Arabidopsis thaliana: one gene and its partners. The protein of the gene in region 1 interacts with the protein of each later gene in a pairwise test. Each region holds a gene or a part of one and is shown in the gene's direction. Other genes may lie near its edges.

Region 1 (3,867 bases):
GTCGCAACTACAAATTGGTCGACAATTTAAAAATCGTATTCAAAATCAGTAGAAGACGTTTTTGTCCAACAACAAAAAATAATTACTGTTTTAGCTTTCTGATAATTTAGAGTAAATTATTTTCATACAAAATCTATTAAAATAAACTGTATTTTTTAAAAAATCGGATTTCAGGCCCTGTGCTCTTTTCTTACTATTTTTATTAAAAGAGTCACATTGGTTATCATGTCAGCAACAATATATGACACATTCGGTTGGGCTATAGGCTTCTGTTGATTTTGAACTTCTGGCCCATTAGGGTTGCCTATGAGCTTTTCTACGAGATGGGCTGGATTTCCCTTTGTTTGCATGGGGCTTTTTTAATTTTTAATTTCTGTTATTTAAATTATGTTTTTACAGATCTAAAGCCCATTGTGTTGTGTCCACCTTATGATCCTGAGAAGTGAAAAAACCAAAAAAAAAGAAAAAACGGAAAAAAACAATACATGACATTATTTTTTCTGCTCCTTTTTAGGTTACACGAGAAAAAAATACCATAGTATTTTATCATTTAAACATTGTGAAAACCCAAATCAATTATGTTAAATATTTTTCAAGTACGAGAAGTATTTATATCCACTTAATCAAGTATCGATTTCGTTTTGAGAAGAAAAATCAAAGAAGAAGACTCTTTATCAATCTTTAATTCTATTTATAAAAAAGTAAAGATTTGGTCTCAAAGACCTGATCCAAGCATTGGCTCGTGGACTAGTAAGAAAAGATTTAAATAATGAAGTCAAGAATTCAAATGTTTTAACCCGCTTTATTTGTCTTATTCATTTCTTAATTAATCATGAGAGTAGACATAATGAAATAGATAATAATCTCATTTTTTTGGAAATATTTGTACTCGTCGTGCCGAGAAGACCGATTCCTCGTTAGCGCGTTGAAAAAGTTATTTTCATAAATTTTCGTTTTTCTATTTCCTCGTACTTTATCTTCTAAGTTGTAAGTTGTAACCAATTACTTTTTTCGTAAACTGGAATATATAAAGAATGTAATTTTTTTTATCTACAATTTTCCAAGACTAATTCTCTCGGTCTCAGGTCAAGTCAGCCATTTACTTTTTCATCTAGAAGATTATGATAGTTTAAATATAATCCATAATTACCTTAGGAAACATAATCCAAAACATATTAAATATTTAAGAACGATATATAATTAACGTCATTTAGTTTTCTAGAAAGTAAACGTTCTATATAATATGAATTGAGATAACAACAAAAAATTACGATATTAAAAGAATTAAAACGGAGAAAGACTGTATTAAACGTATAAATTTTGTAATACGTAGTTACGTACTTTCGTAGCTTAGATACAAATACAATTTACTATTACATTAATAACCGGCATCAAAATAAAAACAGTTACTTGCTAACCAATGCAATCAAAGTTGTGAATCCTAAATTTCTTACACAAAAGCTCGTTGAATATACTGGATCAGGCATATTCTAAACATTGAAACTACTAGTATAAATATTTAAAATATGATAAAATCATTATAGTTATCAACTCCATTATACTAGTTGTACATTTATATATATAACTGGAGGTTAGAGGTGCATGGTGGATTAAATTACAGTAATTCACACTGAAATATGTTATCACATAAGCTGGACCACACGGACAAATAATAATCCCATTTGTTGGCTCTTTACTACATTTCCTCTCTTTTCAGTCTTGAAATATTTGTAACATAATATTACTTTCATAAAGTTTGCTTACGATAATATATTTCTTAGTCATATTCACATTTATTTGAATGTTAGGAGACCGATTCTTCCCTTGATATCATTGCCTTTTTCTCACCATATACATACATGTACAGACAGAAACCCACTTGTCATCATTCTTCATAAAGCTAACTTGCTCATATATATACACATATAGTGGAGAGACTATAGAAGATAAATACCTAGAGAACAAGATTGAGGGGAAGGGAAATAAAAACTAATCCAAAAATCTAAAAGTGAAAGAAGGTAAAAAAAAAGAATAAGAAGAAAATGGGAAGAGCACCGTGCTGCGACAAGATGGCGGTGAAGAAAGGGCCATGGTCGACGGAGGAAGATGCCGTGCTTAAGTCTTACATCGAAAAACACGGCACCGGCAACAACTGGATTTCCCTCCCTCAGAGAATTGGTATTTCTATAAAATCCTTTGTTTGATTTTAAATTCTTTTATATACTTTATAGTTGTGACATATAATACTTAACAATTTTACATTTTGATGAGAAGGGATAAAGAGGTGCGGGAAGAGTTGTCGTTTGAGATGGCTTAATTACTTGAGGCCTAACTTAAAGCATGGAGGCTTCACCGATGAAGAAGATTACATCATTTGCAGCCTTTACATTACTATTGGAAGCAGGTTTGTTACCTAGCTAGATCTCTTATATATTCCTATTATCCTATATGATATAGATATGATTTTATTTAAACGCTGCATCAATAATTGGTGTATATTTATTAAAATGAAGGTGGTCTATCATTGCTTCACAATTACCGGGAAGAACAGACAACGACATCAAAAACTATTGGAACACGAGGCTGAAGAAGAAGCTATTGAGCAAGCAAGGGAAGGCATTTCATCAACAACTTAATGTCAAATTTGAGCGTGGAACAACATCATCATCATCGAGTCAGAACCAGATCCAAATCTTTCATGATGAGAACACCAAATCGAACCAAACATTATATAATCAAGTGGTGGATCCATCAATGAGAGCTTTTGCCATGGAAGAACAAAGCATGATCAAGAATCAGATATTGGAACCATTTTCTTGGGAACCAAACAAGGTTTTGTTTGATGTTGATTATGATGCAGCTGCTTCATCTTATCATCATCATGCATCCCCATCATTGAACTCCATGAGCAGTACTAGTAGTATTGGTACTAATAATTCATCTTTACAAATGTCTCACTACACCGTCAATCACAATGATCATGATCAACCAGATATGTTCTTTATGGACGGGTTTGAGAATTTCCAGGCCGAGCTATTTGATGAGATAGCCAACAACAACACGGTAGAAAATGGCTTTGACGGAACCGAGATCCTGATCAATAACAACTACTTGGATCACGATATTAGCTCCTTCATTGATTATCCTCTATACGATAATGAGTAGATGATGGATTAATTAGATCATTAATAGATACAGATATTATATGCCAATGTACTTAGGTTAAATCATGTTTTTTGTTTGTCTGATCTCTTAAAATGTTGAAGGCGTGAAAGAAGAAAAGCCCTAGAAGTGTATTACACAAAGATTTTTGCTCTTTGCAATATGAATAAATGATGATATCGTTTTATTATATTTCTATTTTAATGTTTATCATCGGTCATTTATTTAAGCGAAAAAGCTACCTTTATTATGCTCTCGTTAATCGAGCTCAAGGTGATGCTGAAAGAATGGGAATCCTAGGACTTGATGTTTCTACAATTCCTCAAAAATGAAGATATATACCACGAAAGTTTGGGAGTTAAGCTTGTCAATTTTCTTTCTTTACAGAAAGCAGTTCTATTAATTTGATCATCAATCAGACCTAATAAGTAAGGATCATAAATTGTTTCTACAAAGATGTTCATCATTAGTCTAGTTTCATAGACGACATACATAAAATAATATGATTAACTTTTATAATAACTACAAGTATCATAATATTTGGCGTTCTTTTGTTGAGAACAATCATACATTCATAATAAACTTTTTTTGTTTCTTAACTCCAACCATAATACTATTTTAACCCCCAAAAAATCATAATATTATTATTAGTTTGCATATGTTATATGTAGTAGTGAGTAGGATACCATTAGAAATCATCAACAC
Region 2 (4,004 bases), on another chromosome or scaffold:
TTGTGTGTATTAAGTCAATTGTTTCAAGCGTTTTATTAACCTGTGGGTGTTATAATAATGCAGGAGAAGGCTCCTTATGTGGCTAAGGCTGACAAGCGCAAGGTTGAGTATGAGAAGAACATGAAAGCCTACAACAAGAAATTGGTAATTGTTTATTTGCATATAGAAGGCTATGTTATGTTTATATTAACCACGTTATTGAGTTGTCTACTCTCTTTATACTAGTCAGTAGTCACACTATTCAAGGCTTTCTTAATTTGTTTACTATATATTGAAGTTTGAGTTATGTTTATTCTAAACAATGATGATACAAGCAACTGGTAATTTGGTTAATGGGGGTGCTTGAATAATGGTGGTGTGTTGTGGTTTCAGGAGGAAGGCCCTAAGGAAGATGAGGAATCTGACAAGTCAGTTTCAGAGGTTAACGATGAGGATGATGCTGAGGATGGCAGTGAAGAGGTAAGTTATTTTACACCTCTGCAATCTAAATATCTGTAGTATGAATCAGTAAAGCTTTGTATTAACTCTGTTATACATGTGATGTAGGAGGAAGACGATGATTAAGAAGTTGAAGTTGTGGTAGCGTAATATAGAAGGCTGCAAGGAATCTCTCGGATGTTTTTATCTCCTCTCTTAAAATGTTAATTCGGGTGGTTAAAGTGGTTTTTTTTTTTTTTCTTTTTCTTTTTCTTACTGATGTTTCGTTTTAGTAAACTATTACCTATCTCCCACTGATTCTACGGGTAATGGAAAAAGTGAATGTAGAATGTTTAGATGGTGAAATGAGAGATTTGTAGCTCTATATAATGAATGATTTAGTTTTTAATTCCTCTACGTTTTAATGCTCTTTAGACTCTTTGTTTCTAGTTGATATGAGGATTTATACCCCTGAAAAAAATATTAGTGTAAACCATGTTTTTACTTAAATCATATTGGGGTTGTGAGTCCTATTGCATAATCACGCTCTTAATCAATGTGTTCCACAAAGAGTAAACCATGTTTTCACTTTTTATTTAGTTATTTGACTTTAGACACAGGTTGGTAAAATTGTTTTGAGGCTATACTTGAATTTTCCAAATTACCAACGCCATGATCATTTGGTTCTCTTTTCATCTTTTGAAAAAAAAAAATGGTTTGCATCAGCTTAATTAAGAGTTTCTCTTTGGATTGTATTACTTCGTTTGATTTAAGAAATAAGTAAAAAATTTGATCATTTTTGACAAAAGTGAAGATTTTAGTGAAAATCTGCGTATTAGCAGCAGAATAGTCTCACTTATGTTATAAATTTTTAGTCAACATCTTTATATCAAAGAACCTTTTTGGTCAAATTCGTACATTTTCTTCTTAATCAACTTAGAAAAAGAAAGAAAGCATGCTCTTCTTTTTCCATCAATAGTTTAATCATTAGTCATAAGTCACAACGATAATATTTTATATAATGCTGTGATTAAGCCTTGCTTCCGGCTTTACCTAACCACTATATACATAAAGTAAGATACACAGTTTGTGTTCCTCTACGGATGTAACAACAATACCTGGTTTTAATTAGGTTGTTTTTATATATTAGTGTGGTGTCTTATTATGTCATCAACACATAGGATTAAGATCTTCTTAGATACATATTTTGGATTAGCACATTTTTCTATTTCAAATGGTAGATATCTTGACCCGTAAAACTCGATTAAAATGTTGAAATTCTAACAAAAAATTGTGAATACCGTCGACCAAAATCTATCCTAGTGAAAGGCCATAGTTCTCCAATGTTTTCAATATGTAACCAATGTAATAAACCTGGTAACTGTAAAAATTAAATTGGTCCAATTGATCATTAAACAAAGACATCTTTCCAAAAAGTGTTTGATTTAACGGTAACAAATAAACTAAAGATCCCTTTATTCATAAACAAAAGAATATATATATCATTCACTTTCTCATTGTCTTGTTCATATGGTAAAAAAAAAAAAGGAAAAGGAGAAAAGCAAAGAAATAGAGGAGATGGATAGAGAGATCCAAAACGGTGCGTATAGTGGGAGAGTGATGACTGAGGAGCAGATGGAGATTCTCCGTAAGCAGATCGCCGTTTACGCCGTTATTTGTGACCAACTCGTCCTCCTCCACAACTCCCTCTCTTCTTACCATCCACTCTCATCAGGTACACTTCTCTCTGTTTTTGTTCCTGATTAACAACAATCACTTTTCTATGTATTTGATTTTTTTACAAGAGACCATTTGATGAGCTTCTTTGTATACGGTAGAAGAAGTGTGTAAGACGAAAGTGTTTAAACGCAGCGTTTTTTGCGATGCAAACGTTGTTTCCATTAATACACTTGACCCATTGAGACTTTAGTGTAAAAATGTGAAAATTGTGTTTGCGTTTGGTATACAACTAACGAAATCCAAGGCTTTTTTTTTCCCAGTGTTCGATGCATAACTTTGAATCAAATTTCATAATGTTTTAGACATTCGAAGACAGTTTACCTACCGCTTAGATATCGATTTATCATTGCTAAAGATATTTGTTAATATAGTTTATGATTTGCTTAGATCGAACAATTCAATATATTATTAATGTTTATTTTCTCTAGACGTAAGCTGATTTGAGGGTTATCATGTCGTGGCCGATTTTTAAGAAGCTTGAGTTATTAGTGCTTTGTGGTTTTGATAATACATATTTTGTACATGGAAGAAACTTAAGGGTCACGTCACTTATTTTTTTATAATGATTGAGTGTAAAAAAGGAGTGAGGCCAATGGTTGGCGGATACTTTGATCCGATGGGGGCATCGTCAAGTTCTCATAGGATATCGACTAGGCATCGGTGGACTCCGACTTCAACACAGCTTCAGATACTTGAGAGCATTTACGACGAAGGAAGTGGAACACCGAATCGACGGAGGATTAGAGAGATCGCGACGGAGCTGTCTGAACATGGACAGATCACGGAGACAAATGTCTACAATTGGTTTCAAAACCGGCGAGCTCGGTCCAAACGAAAGCAGCCTCAAACGACGACAGCTAATGGTCAGGCTGACGATGTGGCGGTGACAACGGAGGAAAGGAGGAGTTGTGGAGATTCAGGGGGATTAGAGTCTTATGAGCATATACTCTTCCCAAGTCCTGACTTAGGTAAAAAGATCATTTGAGTTTTTAAACATTTGGTTAGGTTTATTTTTTATTTTTGGTTTGAGTTTGCATTTTTTTTTGTGGTTTCAGGGATTGAGCATTTGTTGAGTATAGGGAAATTTATGGAGACTTAAAATTCGTATAGACTTCGATGAAGAAGATCTCTAATCTATTCTGTTTTCTTTTACTCTGTTTTCATAAAATAGAATTGTGTGTGTTTGTGTGTGACATTAACAACAAGTCTTCAATTTTATTATAATTTTGTGTTCCTCAACTTGATATATATGCCCACATCTTTTTCAGCATCAGAAAGAAAAGTGATGCCATCTTAAACTCGGTTGATATTTTGACCGGTAAATCTCAATTCAAATGACACTAAAGAGTAGAAGCAATTGACCATAATAACCGATCCTAGTCATGACCATAGCTTTTTTCATTGTTTTTAAATTTATTGTTATCACACAAAAAATCATATAAAATCGGATATTGGTTACATGACCACACAATTAGAATATATATCAATTATTTATCCAATTGAATCCCAAAATTACCTCAATTAACTAGTAATTGAAAAAGAAAAAAAATCAGACAATTGATCCTAGTTTGACATCTTTCCATAAATTGTTTAAAGTTAACGGTAACAAATAACTAAAGATTTCTCAAAAAGAAAAATACATAACACCTTCACTTCCACATTGTCTTCTTCATATGGTAAAAAGGAGAGAGGAGAAGGCAAAGTGGTGAAAGAGGAGATGGAGCAAGAGAGCCTAAACGGTAGGTATGGTAGTAGAGTAATGACGGATGAACAAATGGAGACTCTTCGTAAGCAAATCGCCATTTACGCCGTTCTTTGCGACCAGCTCGTCTTCCTCCACAACTCTC
Region 3 (5,397 bases), on another chromosome or scaffold:
AGAGGGACAAGTCACTGTTAGAAAGGTGACTCCTCCCTTTGGGCCAGCCCCCTACCACAAAAGTCAAAGCTTACTTACTATTCAGTCATATATCGACACGTGTACTTCGAACCACATCACCCATCCTATTACGTAATTTCCACTGTCTAGACTTTTTTTTTTTTTTTTTTTTTTACTTTTTAACGTTTTTTAGCTGTCTCTCTAAATTACTACATACGGACTTGCTACGTCACCTGAGAAGAAAGATCTTTGCTCGTAGATTCTTTGTCTGAAGGAAAATTATTTGTATTTAGTTATTTACAATTGCATAATTGTGTGTAGTAAATCCGCCAGAATGATATTAGAGTGATACTGAGACGACGAATGGTGTAACTTGTAACATATATACTAATAAACACGATTGATTAAAAATTTACTATACAGTATATCCAAAACATTATGATTGAGAGTGTACATATACAATAAGTAATTAAACCTCAAAACCAAACAGTTTTTTTTTTTTTTGGTCAACAATAATTAGAAATGAGAATAAACTATTTAACTTATAAATTCTAGACCCAAAAACTCATATTTTACCCTTCTTGGTCTCACCTAAAAAGACTTTAATTCCCAAAACTCTTGCAAACAATGGCCAAACATAGAAGATTGGAAAACAAATTTAAATCTACTTTCACTTTTATAAAGAATAATCAACGAACCAATTAAGTTAAACCTACATATATTCGTATGTGATCACATATGTGTTATATTCCTCACGTTCTCTTCCATTTAGCTAATAACCTTAATTACTTCAAGAAATCATATATCAACCGAAAACTAGTAAAATAAATATACATACTGAAAGCGCGCAAAATTTTTAGCAATATTTTAAAATACCCTACATCATAGTCTTAACTAATTAATCTTTCTGATCAAAATTTATTTTCATAATATTCATAAATACTTATGGATTACCTAAACCAGGATACTTATCCCTATAAATCTGTCAATCATCATGGATTCATGGAGACATGGTCAGATATCCCACGTCCAGATACAATGTAACATATTGATATACTGCGGCTGATTATTATTTTTTACATTAGAACGAGTTTAGATCCAAAACAAAATTGGTATTCTCAAACAAAAATTAAAAATTGAATACGAAAGTAATAGAACAAAACTTCAATGTTGTCGAATAGATAGGAAGCAATAGAAAAGCGACACGTACATGTCCATTTTAAGGTAGGAGAGGCTTTTCTGCGGCTTGTGAAGTAAGAAAAAGAAAATGATGATAGCTGCTTTCGTTTCATTCATTGCAGAAGAAACCAATGTTTCCCCAATCTCACGCGCCTCCTCCTATCTACCACCACTTGGACAAATCCCCTTTTCAGTATTAGTTTTTTTTTCCGGACATTGTACATTCAAAAGCATTCCAAGTGTCTAATAAACATAACTAACCACTCCAAGATGCAAAATCTAGCTACGAACAAATTTTAAACTATAGAGATGAACTTTAAATTCGGGCATTAATTAGTGGAACTTGAGCTATTGATGAGTTTTCTGACTTTTTGAAGCTTAATTGAGTTTTATATACACTATATATAGGCTTGTAATAATATGGATCAAACAAGAAATATATAAACTACAAATTGGGAATTAGGTTTTAAAACGTTATCGTTCTATTTTAATTCAGGCACCTTTAGAATATCAAGATCCATGCATGTTTCAATATTTCTGTTGACAAATAAATAAAGATGTCTCAAATATGAAGTTTGGGCAACGTACGTGTAGACCTAAAAGAGTCGAAACATTGGTATCTAAGTCATATATCTAGATGTATATGGACATGGATTATATAACTAGACAACGTTTGTTTTAAAAACTTAATTCATTTTTCTTAATTAGTAGCAACTAGCAACTAACTACTCATGGCAAATAATGGTGTCTGCGTGGCACGCACTTGGGAGAGAAGGTGTGAGAATGTTTTTTACTTTCTGTGTAAAAGATGGAAGAGAGAGAAAGAGTAAAGAAGTAGAGAGAGAGATATTGTATCACCAAACCCTAATGATCTCTCACCCTCACAAATTTTCTTATCTTTATAGCTTTTATAGATTCACAAAAACTTTTCTTCAGATTCACAATCTCATCACAACCCTTCAAAAAGAGAAAAGATCTAAAGAATAAACAAGAGCCCTAATATCAAATCACAACCAAAAAAACCAAAGAAAGCTAATTAAAGTTTTCTCTCTAGCTATTCCTCTTCTTTTCTTGTTCTTGAAAACTAGGGTTTACTTCACCAAAAGATAAGATCTTTCCCCAGAAAAAGCAATACCCAAGTCATGTTTCTGTGTGTCTGTATATAGATAAAACATTACATACCCTAATAAGGTTACACAAATAGCTATAAAAGAGGGAAAATAAGATAGGGATTTTTTGGGGTGAGGAAAGATGGGAAGAGGAAGAGTAGAGCTCAAGAGGATAGAGAACAAAATCAACAGACAAGTGACGTTTGCTAAACGTAGAAATGGTTTGCTGAAAAAAGCTTATGAGCTTTCTGTTCTCTGCGATGCTGAAGTCTCTCTCATCGTCTTCTCCAACCGTGGCAAGCTCTACGAGTTCTGCAGCACCTCCAAGTACTTCTCTTTCTTTATACACTTATTAGATCTGTGTGTAGATCTTTCATTTTTCTAGTCTTGTGATGAGTTTTATCTTTCTTGATTGCTTTTTAACAAAATACTTGATATATTTTCAGTTTCTTAATCTGATCTCTAATTAGGTTTTGATTATAGAAGAATAATTCAGTACTTTCAAGTGATTGAATTTCGAGATCTGATCTTAATTTAATCATCATGTCAAATTCTTAGGGATTTAATTGCAATCTATTTTTAGATTTATCGGAGCTAGGAAAGTATCATAATGATATACTATTATTATCATGTAATTTCATTGTCTCTACACGGATATATATGTGATTAGAACTTGGTAAAGTAAACTAAAGATTCACAGTCTTCAATGAAATTTAAAAGATCCAACGTAGAATAATTAGTGGTTCCATGCATTAACCAGTCTAATTAAAGCTCATGCAGACATTTAAGCACCACATGAATTTAATATCTTTTTAATTAAGGGATCTTCTTTTTATAAATTTTCTTTTGTTAGTTTTTAAAATTTTAGTTTGTTCATTAAATTTATAGATTCTTCTTCTCCTGATTTGTGTTTTTTGATCTTTCAGCATGCTCAAGACACTGGAAAGGTATCAGAAGTGTAGCTATGGCTCCATTGAAGTCAACAACAAACCTGCTAAAGAGCTTGAGGTTTAATCTCCAACATCTCTTCGATCTTAATTATTTATCCTTTTTTAATTTTATCTAAAGAAAATGTTTGATTTTGAGACAAAAGCCCTTCAAAGTTTCTTACATAGATATTCAATTGTCTATTATCTTCGCAATTTTCAGAACAGCTACAGAGAGTACTTGAAGCTGAAAGGTAGATATGAAAATCTGCAACGTCAGCAGAGGTATATACATTAATGTGGATGATGATCATTTATAAACAGCATATATATATATATATATATATATATATATAGTTTGTATTGATCATGAAAGTGTGTTGCTGCAGAAATCTTCTTGGAGAGGATCTTGGACCTCTGAATTCAAAGGAGCTAGAGCAGCTTGAGCGTCAACTAGACGGCTCTCTGAAGCAAGTTCGCTGCATCAAGGTGATTTACTTCTGTACATACACTGAAAGATTCACACAAATCTTTCTCTATATATAGACTGAGACACATGCATGAAATGTTTTTGATGCGTGAGGTTATCTGAAAATGCCTCTTCTTTTTTGCAGACACAGTATATGCTTGACCAGCTCTCTGATCTTCAAGGTAAGGAGCATATCTTGCTTGATGCCAACAGAGCTTTGTCAATGAAGGTATATGATGATGTTTCTCTCTCTCTCCTCCAGTTTCTATTTATAGATGGAAACTTTAAATAGTCCAATTTATATATATGAGTCTAAATTTCACATTCTTCAACTGCTACATGTTTCTTTTGTATTATTTCTATGATATCTTCAGGAAAGTTTGAAAAATATTGTGTTTTGTTTAGCTGGAAGATATGATCGGCGTGAGACATCACCATATAGGAGGAGGATGGGAAGGTGGTGATCAACAGAATATTGCCTATGGACATCCTCAGGCTCATTCTCAGGGACTATACCAATCTCTTGAATGTGATCCCACTTTGCAAATTGGGTAAATCAAACAACTTTTCTTGCCTTAAGACATCAACTTAGGTTATAAACAGTTAGCAGTTTGCTTTAAGCCCAACATTGTCTTTGTTTCATAGAGGCTTTGGTTAAAACTCGTGTTGTTTAGTCTAAGGATTCAGCACTTTGATGTCTGAAGTATGGAAAATCAATATCTCAGACTTGAAAATGTGGGTTTCTATTGTTGACTTCGAAACTATGTTGTTGTGGTGTTGCAAACAGATATAGCCATCCAGTGTGCTCAGAGCAAATGGCTGTGACGGTGCAAGGTCAGTCCCAACAAGGAAACGGCTACATCCCTGGCTGGATGCTGTGAGCGATACTTCTTCCCCCAATAAAGATCTTAAGCAAGTACTGGTGGGGTCTTCGTGGTGTGATCTTAGATCTTATGCATATGAATAATAATGTTATTGCACAAGACTTTTGCTTTTGTAGACACAAGTGGCTATAGCTGTAATAGCCTTCAACATCTCTCTTCTGTTTCAGGATTTGTTTGTGCCTATTGTAATTGCTTATATATGTATGGTTTGTATAATGTGTGAAATGTTAACATCGACCATGTCTCATCTGGTGAAGTACTTATCCTGTCTATGCATGATACAAAAAGACGTGGTTAGATGCTAACCGCAATCGCAAACACAGCTTGTGACAAAGGCATATAAACTCTCAAGTTAACAGTGACATTCAACAGATCACAATGCCACCAAGATGTAGCTTTTATTTTCGATTCTAGTGTACAGAACATATAATTACAATATCTGGATCTTACAGAGGCAGGACAAGTAATGAAATCTGTCCTGAAAAGTTAAATGATACAGAGAGTTCTGCTGAAGAATGTAATTTCTGGTTTGCTACATTCTTCAATTTCTCAATAATATAGGACCAATTGTAATAACTTCCAACAATACTAAATTGTTTCGGAGTTTGGGGATTGTGCTTTTTAATATACTTCTTCCCCATTAGTAAAGTCCCCATCAAGTAACTGCTCCCTGAAACACATCAAGTCGCATTGTTTAGCTTTACTTGACTTGGATTCTTTCTAAGTTTCAAAGTTTAAGGGGTAATGAAGAAGTTTGTCCAAGAACTTCAACTTTGCTTACCTCAGTCTTTCGCAGAGGCGGGCTAAAGCTTCGGATCCCATTCTGAATG
Region 4 (5,475 bases), on another chromosome or scaffold:
TTCAGGATTCGTTTTTATAAAATTACAATATACTGTAATATTGGTAAACCAGTCATTCCATCATTTTCATATTTTAAATTCATTAGTTTAGTCTTTGCCTCTTTTGCCACCATTTTCTCTAGGATTTCGTATGATAAAATAATAACATTATTTTCGCAACAAATATTAATTTGTTTCCTACAATTGTGTGAGACCACAAGATATTCATGTGTGCATTTTTAGACAAACAATTTGAACCATTTATTTTCCGAAGATAAAAGATATCAAATAAAAACTCATACTATACTATACAAAAAAATGTGTGGTAAATGAACATAACTCCCATGGGGACTACTCATTAAAAACCAGAGTCAGCCTTGTCCTTTTCAATAATTGGTCCAACACAGATATCACACGCAATAGCAATTTCGAAAACAACGTGAAAACAGAAAAGCAGTGCCCTTAAATCATAGTAATTACATTCATACAATATGTGGTTATTTGCAAGCATTATAAACTTTACATGCATAAATAAACAGAAAAGCCCATAAAGCATGGTTGGACTCAGGTTGAGAATACAAATAACTCGGCCCAAAAAGATCATTACGTTGTTCGGATTTGAATAAACGAAATCAATGTGTACGGATCAAGTGAGTCAAAGTATTTAGTTATAAGTCATAACTAATATACGTATTAAGCTCATTGAACAAACAAATACAAGATTATCAGGAAAAAAAAAGAAAGATAATTTGTTCAGATTATTATTGGATACTAGTGGTTGGAACTGCTATTTGGACCATATGTTAAGGAATTTGTATGCTGGCAGAATAGTGAGTTTATGGAGGGACCCATCTCAGCCTAAAATAATTCTTCCTTTGAAACTAACAAAAAAAGGGGTCCCAAATTAATTAATTTCAATGCTTGTAAAGTCAAATGCAATTTTTTCAATGGACATATATGTAACATTCGCTTTTTACAAAATTTGAATCCAATCTTAAGTGCAAATTACTAAGCAAAGATAAATTTTAATTCTTATAGTAATCGTTGTCGTTTTACATACTTTTACTCATAAATTAAACCTTTTTTATTTTAACTAAGAACGAAGAAATTAAGGGAAGTGGCGGTGTAACATATACACAGAAATCCAAGCTGGTTACTTTTCAATCCACCTGTCAGCGTCATGTTTATCCAACGGATGCAAATTCAGATAACAAAAGACACGTGTCAGAATCTGAGCTTCTCAGATGCCTACAAGGCAATGAAAACGTTAAAACAAAAGCTGAACGAATATTACCAAAAAAGGGTCAAAGTCAACAAAAACAGACGAACATTGCATTAAATTGGGTTATAGTTTCGTTAACCAGAAATATACACCCACAAAGAAGAAAACAAATTGCGATTTCGAACGTAATGCTACACGACAAATTCCCACAGTAAAAAATGTTATTCGTTCAACAACAAAATTTGGTTAATTATTTTACGGTCCGACAACGCGACGGTAATACCCTCCTTTGTCCCCGTCTAAGGACAGTGACAGTAAAATAATTTTTTTGTTTATTGACATGTTCATAAGCTAAGAATTTAGATTAATATTGGAAATACTAAAACCCAATCTTAAACCAAACACGGATATATCTTTTGACAAAATAAGTCGTTTAGCTCAAAATCTATATAGTAAACAATGACATAAAATAAATTTATAATTTCTACGCCATCGACAATATTAATAAATTACTTGATCGTTTGATTACGTAACATGTAGAGATACAATAGAAAAATAATACAAACCTGATATTGCATTCATTGGGTACTGCATATATTCACATGCCATTTTCTAATTTTCATCTGTGTACATCGTCTATGATATAATCTTTTCCATAAAGGTGAAAAAATTATTACAATATCTATTTACTCGTTTTGTTTGGTGCTTTTAACCTTTCTACACCGTTTTCAATTTAAAATCTACAAAAAGATTATTCTATTTTAATTATTTGCATGGGAGTCCAAAATACAGATTTAGATACTTGGAACTTGAAAGTCGACACAATTATGTATAAAAAATGTTTGTTAACAAAAAAAAAAGGGTGAAAAGTTGAGAGAAAAAAATTAGTATAATTGTCTCCAGAGAGAGAAAAGAAGAAGAAGGCTCCTTTTTCTTGGACAAGCCAAAGAAAAAGAAAAAAAAGGTTGAAGCTTTCACACAAAGTCTCACACACAAGCCGCCTTATTTTTTTTTCCGGTGATTCTTCAGAGAGAAACAAGCCGGAAGTAGTAAGGATAACTCGTCTCCGGTGAAATCTCAGCCGTTGGATCAGATCGGTGGACGGTGGATAAAAGATGCGTGTGGAGAAGAGAGAGTCTGGGTTAAATGATTAAGAGATTTCTTGGGTAATGAAGTTTTGATTTTTTTTCTTTTTCTTTTGGGGGTTTTAAATCTTTTTGAAGAAGAGAGGTCAGAGAGTGAGTTATCAGAAAAGTTTGGTGGCGGAAAGGGGAAAAGGAGATTTTTACGAAAAGCAGATTGACTGGTAGCTGAAGAAGAGAGAGAGAAAGAGAGACTAAACAGAGTAGGAGGAGGATGATAAACCCTAGATTGAGCTGAGCTGAGATTTGCTTCTTCCTTTTTGTGTTCAAAGATTGGAATTTAGTATCTTTGAAACATGCCGGTTGATTTAGATAATTCCTCTACAGTTTCCGGCGATGCAAGCGTCTCATCGACCGGAAACCAAAATCTAACTCCTAAATCCGTCGGGAAGAAGAAACGGAATCTTCCTGGAATGCCTGGTACTTCTCAAAAATCCAAACTTTTTTTTTTCTGTTTTTTGAGTTTGAAATTTTCTGTTTTTAGTTGTTCTCACTGATTGTCTAAATTCAGATCCAGACGCTGAAGTGATAGCTTTGTCACCTAAAACACTTATGGCAACGAATCGATTCGTTTGCGAAATCTGTAACAAAGGTTTTCAACGTGACCAGAATCTTCAGCTTCATCGTCGTGGTCACAATCTTCCATGGAAACTTCGACAGAGATCGACTAAAGAAGTGAGGAAGAAGGTTTATGTTTGTCCTGTTTCTGGCTGTGTTCATCATGACCCTTCACGTGCTCTTGGAGATCTTACTGGAATCAAGAAACACTTTTGTCGGAAACACGGCGAGAAGAAATGGAAGTGTGAGAAATGTTCTAAGAAGTATGCTGTTCAATCAGATTGGAAAGCTCATTCGAAGATTTGTGGCACCAAGGAGTATAAATGCGATTGTGGAACTCTGTTTTCTAGGTGGCGACAAATTGTTATAAACATATTCAAAGGTTTGATCTTTCTTATGGATTTTACTAACTTGTGGATTGGGTTTTGTTGCAGGAGAGATAGCTTTATAACGCATAGAGCCTTTTGTGATGCCTTGGCTGAAGAGAGTGCGAAGAATCATACTCAAAGCAAGAAACTTTATCCAGAAACTGTCACTAGGAAGAATCCTGAAATTGAGCAAAAATCTCCAGCAGCTGTTGAGTCTTCTCCGTCATTACCGCCTTCTTCTCCGCCATCGGTTGCTATAGCTCCGGCACCGGCTATTTCGGTTGAGACTGAGTCTGTCAAAATCATATCTTCCTCTGTTTTGCCGATTCAGAATTCTCCAGGTACATAATACAAACTCTCTGTTTGATGGCAAAATGTGGCAAAATCGCTACATGTAACAATTTATCAATTCTCTAACCGAAACAAGAACTCTTTAAAATAATCCAACTGTAAACTGGTCGGTGAACTTGGAGTTTAGTTGGTTTTGTCTGTAGCGCCGTTATATTTCTGATGTCTGCTAAAAAACTGAATCGTGTTCGTCGTCTTCCATAGCTAAGCCTATAATGTATCCATTAATTATAATTAAAGCCTCAAAGTTTATGTCCATGACTCATCATCTCTTTTTGTTTGTAGAATCTCAAGAAAACAACAATCATCCTGAAGTCATTATTGAGGAAGCTTCAAGAACGATCGGGTTCAATGTTAGCTCATCGGATCTAAGCAATGATCACAGTAACAACAATGGTGGATACGCAGGTTTGTTTGTATCATCAACAGCTTCGCCTAGTTTATATGCTTCCTCAACCGCTTCTCCAAGTCTATTCGCACCATCGTCCTCCATGGAACCCATCTCTCTCTGTCTCTCGACGAACCCTTCTTTGTTCGGACCAACAATACGAGATCCGCCACATTTCCTAACTCCTCTCCCTCCTCAACCGGCAATGTCAGCTACTGCATTGCTCCAAAAAGCTGCACAAATGGGTTCCACGGGATCAGGAGGTTCGTTGCTTCGCGGGTTAGGCATAGTTTCAACTACTTCTTCATCTATGGAACTCAGCAATCATGATGCATTGTCATTAGCTCCTGGTCTTGGACTTGGACTACCTTGTAGCAGCGGTGGTAGCGGATCGGGTCTAAAAGAGCTCATGATGGGGAATTCATCGGTGTTTGGTCCGAAACAGACGACACTAGACTTTCTTGGATTAGGAAGAGCTGTTGGTAATGGTGGTAATACCGGAGGTGGATTGTCTGCTCTGTTAACTTCTATAGGTGGTGGAGGTGGAATCGATCTGTTTGGATCAGGGGAGTTTTCAGGCAAAGACATTGGAAGAAGTTCGTAAGAGAGACAAAAGGCATGAACGTAGTAGACCAGTGTAGTATATAGTTCATCAAGTTTGTTTCAGGTTTTAGATGTTTTGGTATCTTGTTTTAGTGAAAGCTTTAGTTTTATTCCCAAGTGGGTTTTCTCTCAAGTACATAAATCTCCTAGCAACAACAACAAAATATATTGTTTTTTTTTTGGTGTGTGGTTTATTATAACTCACATGTTGTACTTTGAGAGATAATTTGAACTCGGGTTGTGACATGACAGCTAAATTATTACAGATGGTTACAAATCTTGGTCTAGTTCTGATGGAAGTCTCTACCATGTGAAAACAATCAATGGGGTTTGAAGTTTCTATTATTGGGTGTTGCTTGCTGTCTTAAAACGCTGAATCGAATTTTTGCATTAATGGGAACAATTCGTAGATGAGATTGAATTGACTTCTCCCAAAAGTGATAAATTTTTTGGAAGGTGGTGATATTTGTCTAAAAACTTGCAGAACTAAAAATAGTCTCAATTTGGCCAGATAATTTGAGACTTGACCAGTGTGATTTGATTGGAGAATCGACCAAAGATTTTGGATTTTGATGTTTCAATCGCTACGTAGGTCCATTATAGTGATAGAATTATCATGACAATTCAACCCACAAAGGCACTATTTTGTATTTTATTTTGGAGAGCAAGATAATTTATTTACCCACATCATATTTACTGTATTACAAAATCGGAAGTTTAACAGAAATCAGTAACTATGATTAGTGTGACTTTATCATTTGATCAATATTGATATGCTTGGACTCGAGCAATGATCGTGTAGTTTTCAATATTAAGAAAATAAAATTGGTTGTGTACAGTAAGCAAGAAGAGAGAAGCCTATTGGGG

Evidence for each region.
Region 2: the proteins of MYB87 (region 1) and WOX14 interact in a two-hybrid assay, tested with the Arabidopsis thaliana proteins (one large-scale study listed by BioGRID).
Region 3: the proteins of MYB87 (region 1) and SEP2 interact in a two-hybrid assay, tested with the Arabidopsis thaliana proteins (one large-scale study listed by BioGRID).
Region 4: the proteins of MYB87 (region 1) and IDD1 interact in a two-hybrid assay, tested with the Arabidopsis thaliana proteins (one large-scale study listed by BioGRID).

Annotation. Positions count from the first base shown.
Region 1 is NC_003075.7:17,757,702-17,761,568, reverse strand, and holds MYB87 (myb domain protein 87), read left to right. Parts: upstream 1-1,822; 5' UTR 1,823-2,042; coding exon 2,043-2,178; intron 2,179-2,274; coding exon 2,275-2,404; intron 2,405-2,513; coding exon 2,514-3,165; 3' UTR 3,166-3,337; downstream 3,338-3,867. UniProt on the Arabidopsis thaliana protein: Transcription factor that functions as a regulator of genes affecting cell wall organization and remodeling. Activates genes related to the primary cell wall and represses genes related to the secondary cell wall and expansins.
Region 2 is NC_003070.9:7,180,611-7,184,614, forward strand, and holds WOX14 (WUSCHEL related homeobox 14), read left to right. Parts: upstream 1-1,947; coding exon 1,948-2,152; exon of another isoform or gene 2,153-2,719; coding exon of another isoform or gene 2,720-2,738; coding exon 2,739-3,125; coding exon of another isoform or gene 3,126-3,142; exon of another isoform or gene 3,143-3,212; coding exon 3,213-3,256; 3' UTR 3,257-3,446; downstream 3,447-4,004. Other genes in the region: HMGB3 (high mobility group B3), read left to right, coding at 64-150, 380-459, 547-583; WOX10 (WUSCHEL related homeobox 10), read left to right, coding at 3,875-4,004. UniProt on the Arabidopsis thaliana protein: Acts redundantly with WOX4 downstream of the TDR/PXY receptor kinase to regulate procambial cell proliferation and differentiation in vascular tissue, independently of any role in vascular. Involved in the regulation of gibberellin (GA) biosynthesis pathway.
Region 3 is NC_003074.8:463,721-469,117, reverse strand, and holds SEP2 (K-box region and MADS-box transcription factor family protein), read left to right. Parts: upstream 1-1,966; 5' UTR 1,967-2,430; coding exon 2,431-2,615; intron 2,616-3,214; coding exon 3,215-3,296; intron 3,297-3,437; coding exon 3,438-3,499; intron 3,500-3,603; coding exon 3,604-3,703; intron 3,704-3,828; coding exon 3,829-3,912; intron 3,913-4,057; coding exon of another isoform or gene 4,058-4,088; coding exon 4,089-4,234; intron 4,235-4,470; coding exon 4,471-4,564; 3' UTR 4,565-4,839; downstream 4,840-5,397. Other genes in the region: AT3G02300 (Regulator of chromosome condensation (RCC1) family protein), read right to left, coding at 5,189-5,237, 5,349-5,397. UniProt on the Arabidopsis thaliana protein: Probable transcription factor. Functions with SEPALLATA1/AGL2 and SEPALLATA3/AGL9 to ensure proper development of petals, stamens and carpels and to prevent the indeterminate growth of the flower meristem.
Region 4 is NC_003076.8:26,641,048-26,646,522, reverse strand, and holds IDD1 (C2H2-like zinc finger protein), read left to right. Parts: upstream 1-1,784; 5' UTR 1,785-2,639; coding exon 2,640-2,763; intron 2,764-2,854; coding exon 2,855-3,251; intron 3,252-3,335; coding exon 3,336-3,610; intron 3,611-3,902; coding exon 3,903-4,609; 3' UTR 4,610-4,937; downstream 4,938-5,475. UniProt on the Arabidopsis thaliana protein: Transcription factor promoting the transition to germination by regulating light and hormonal signaling during seed maturation. Acts as a positive regulator of phytochrome and/or gibberellin action.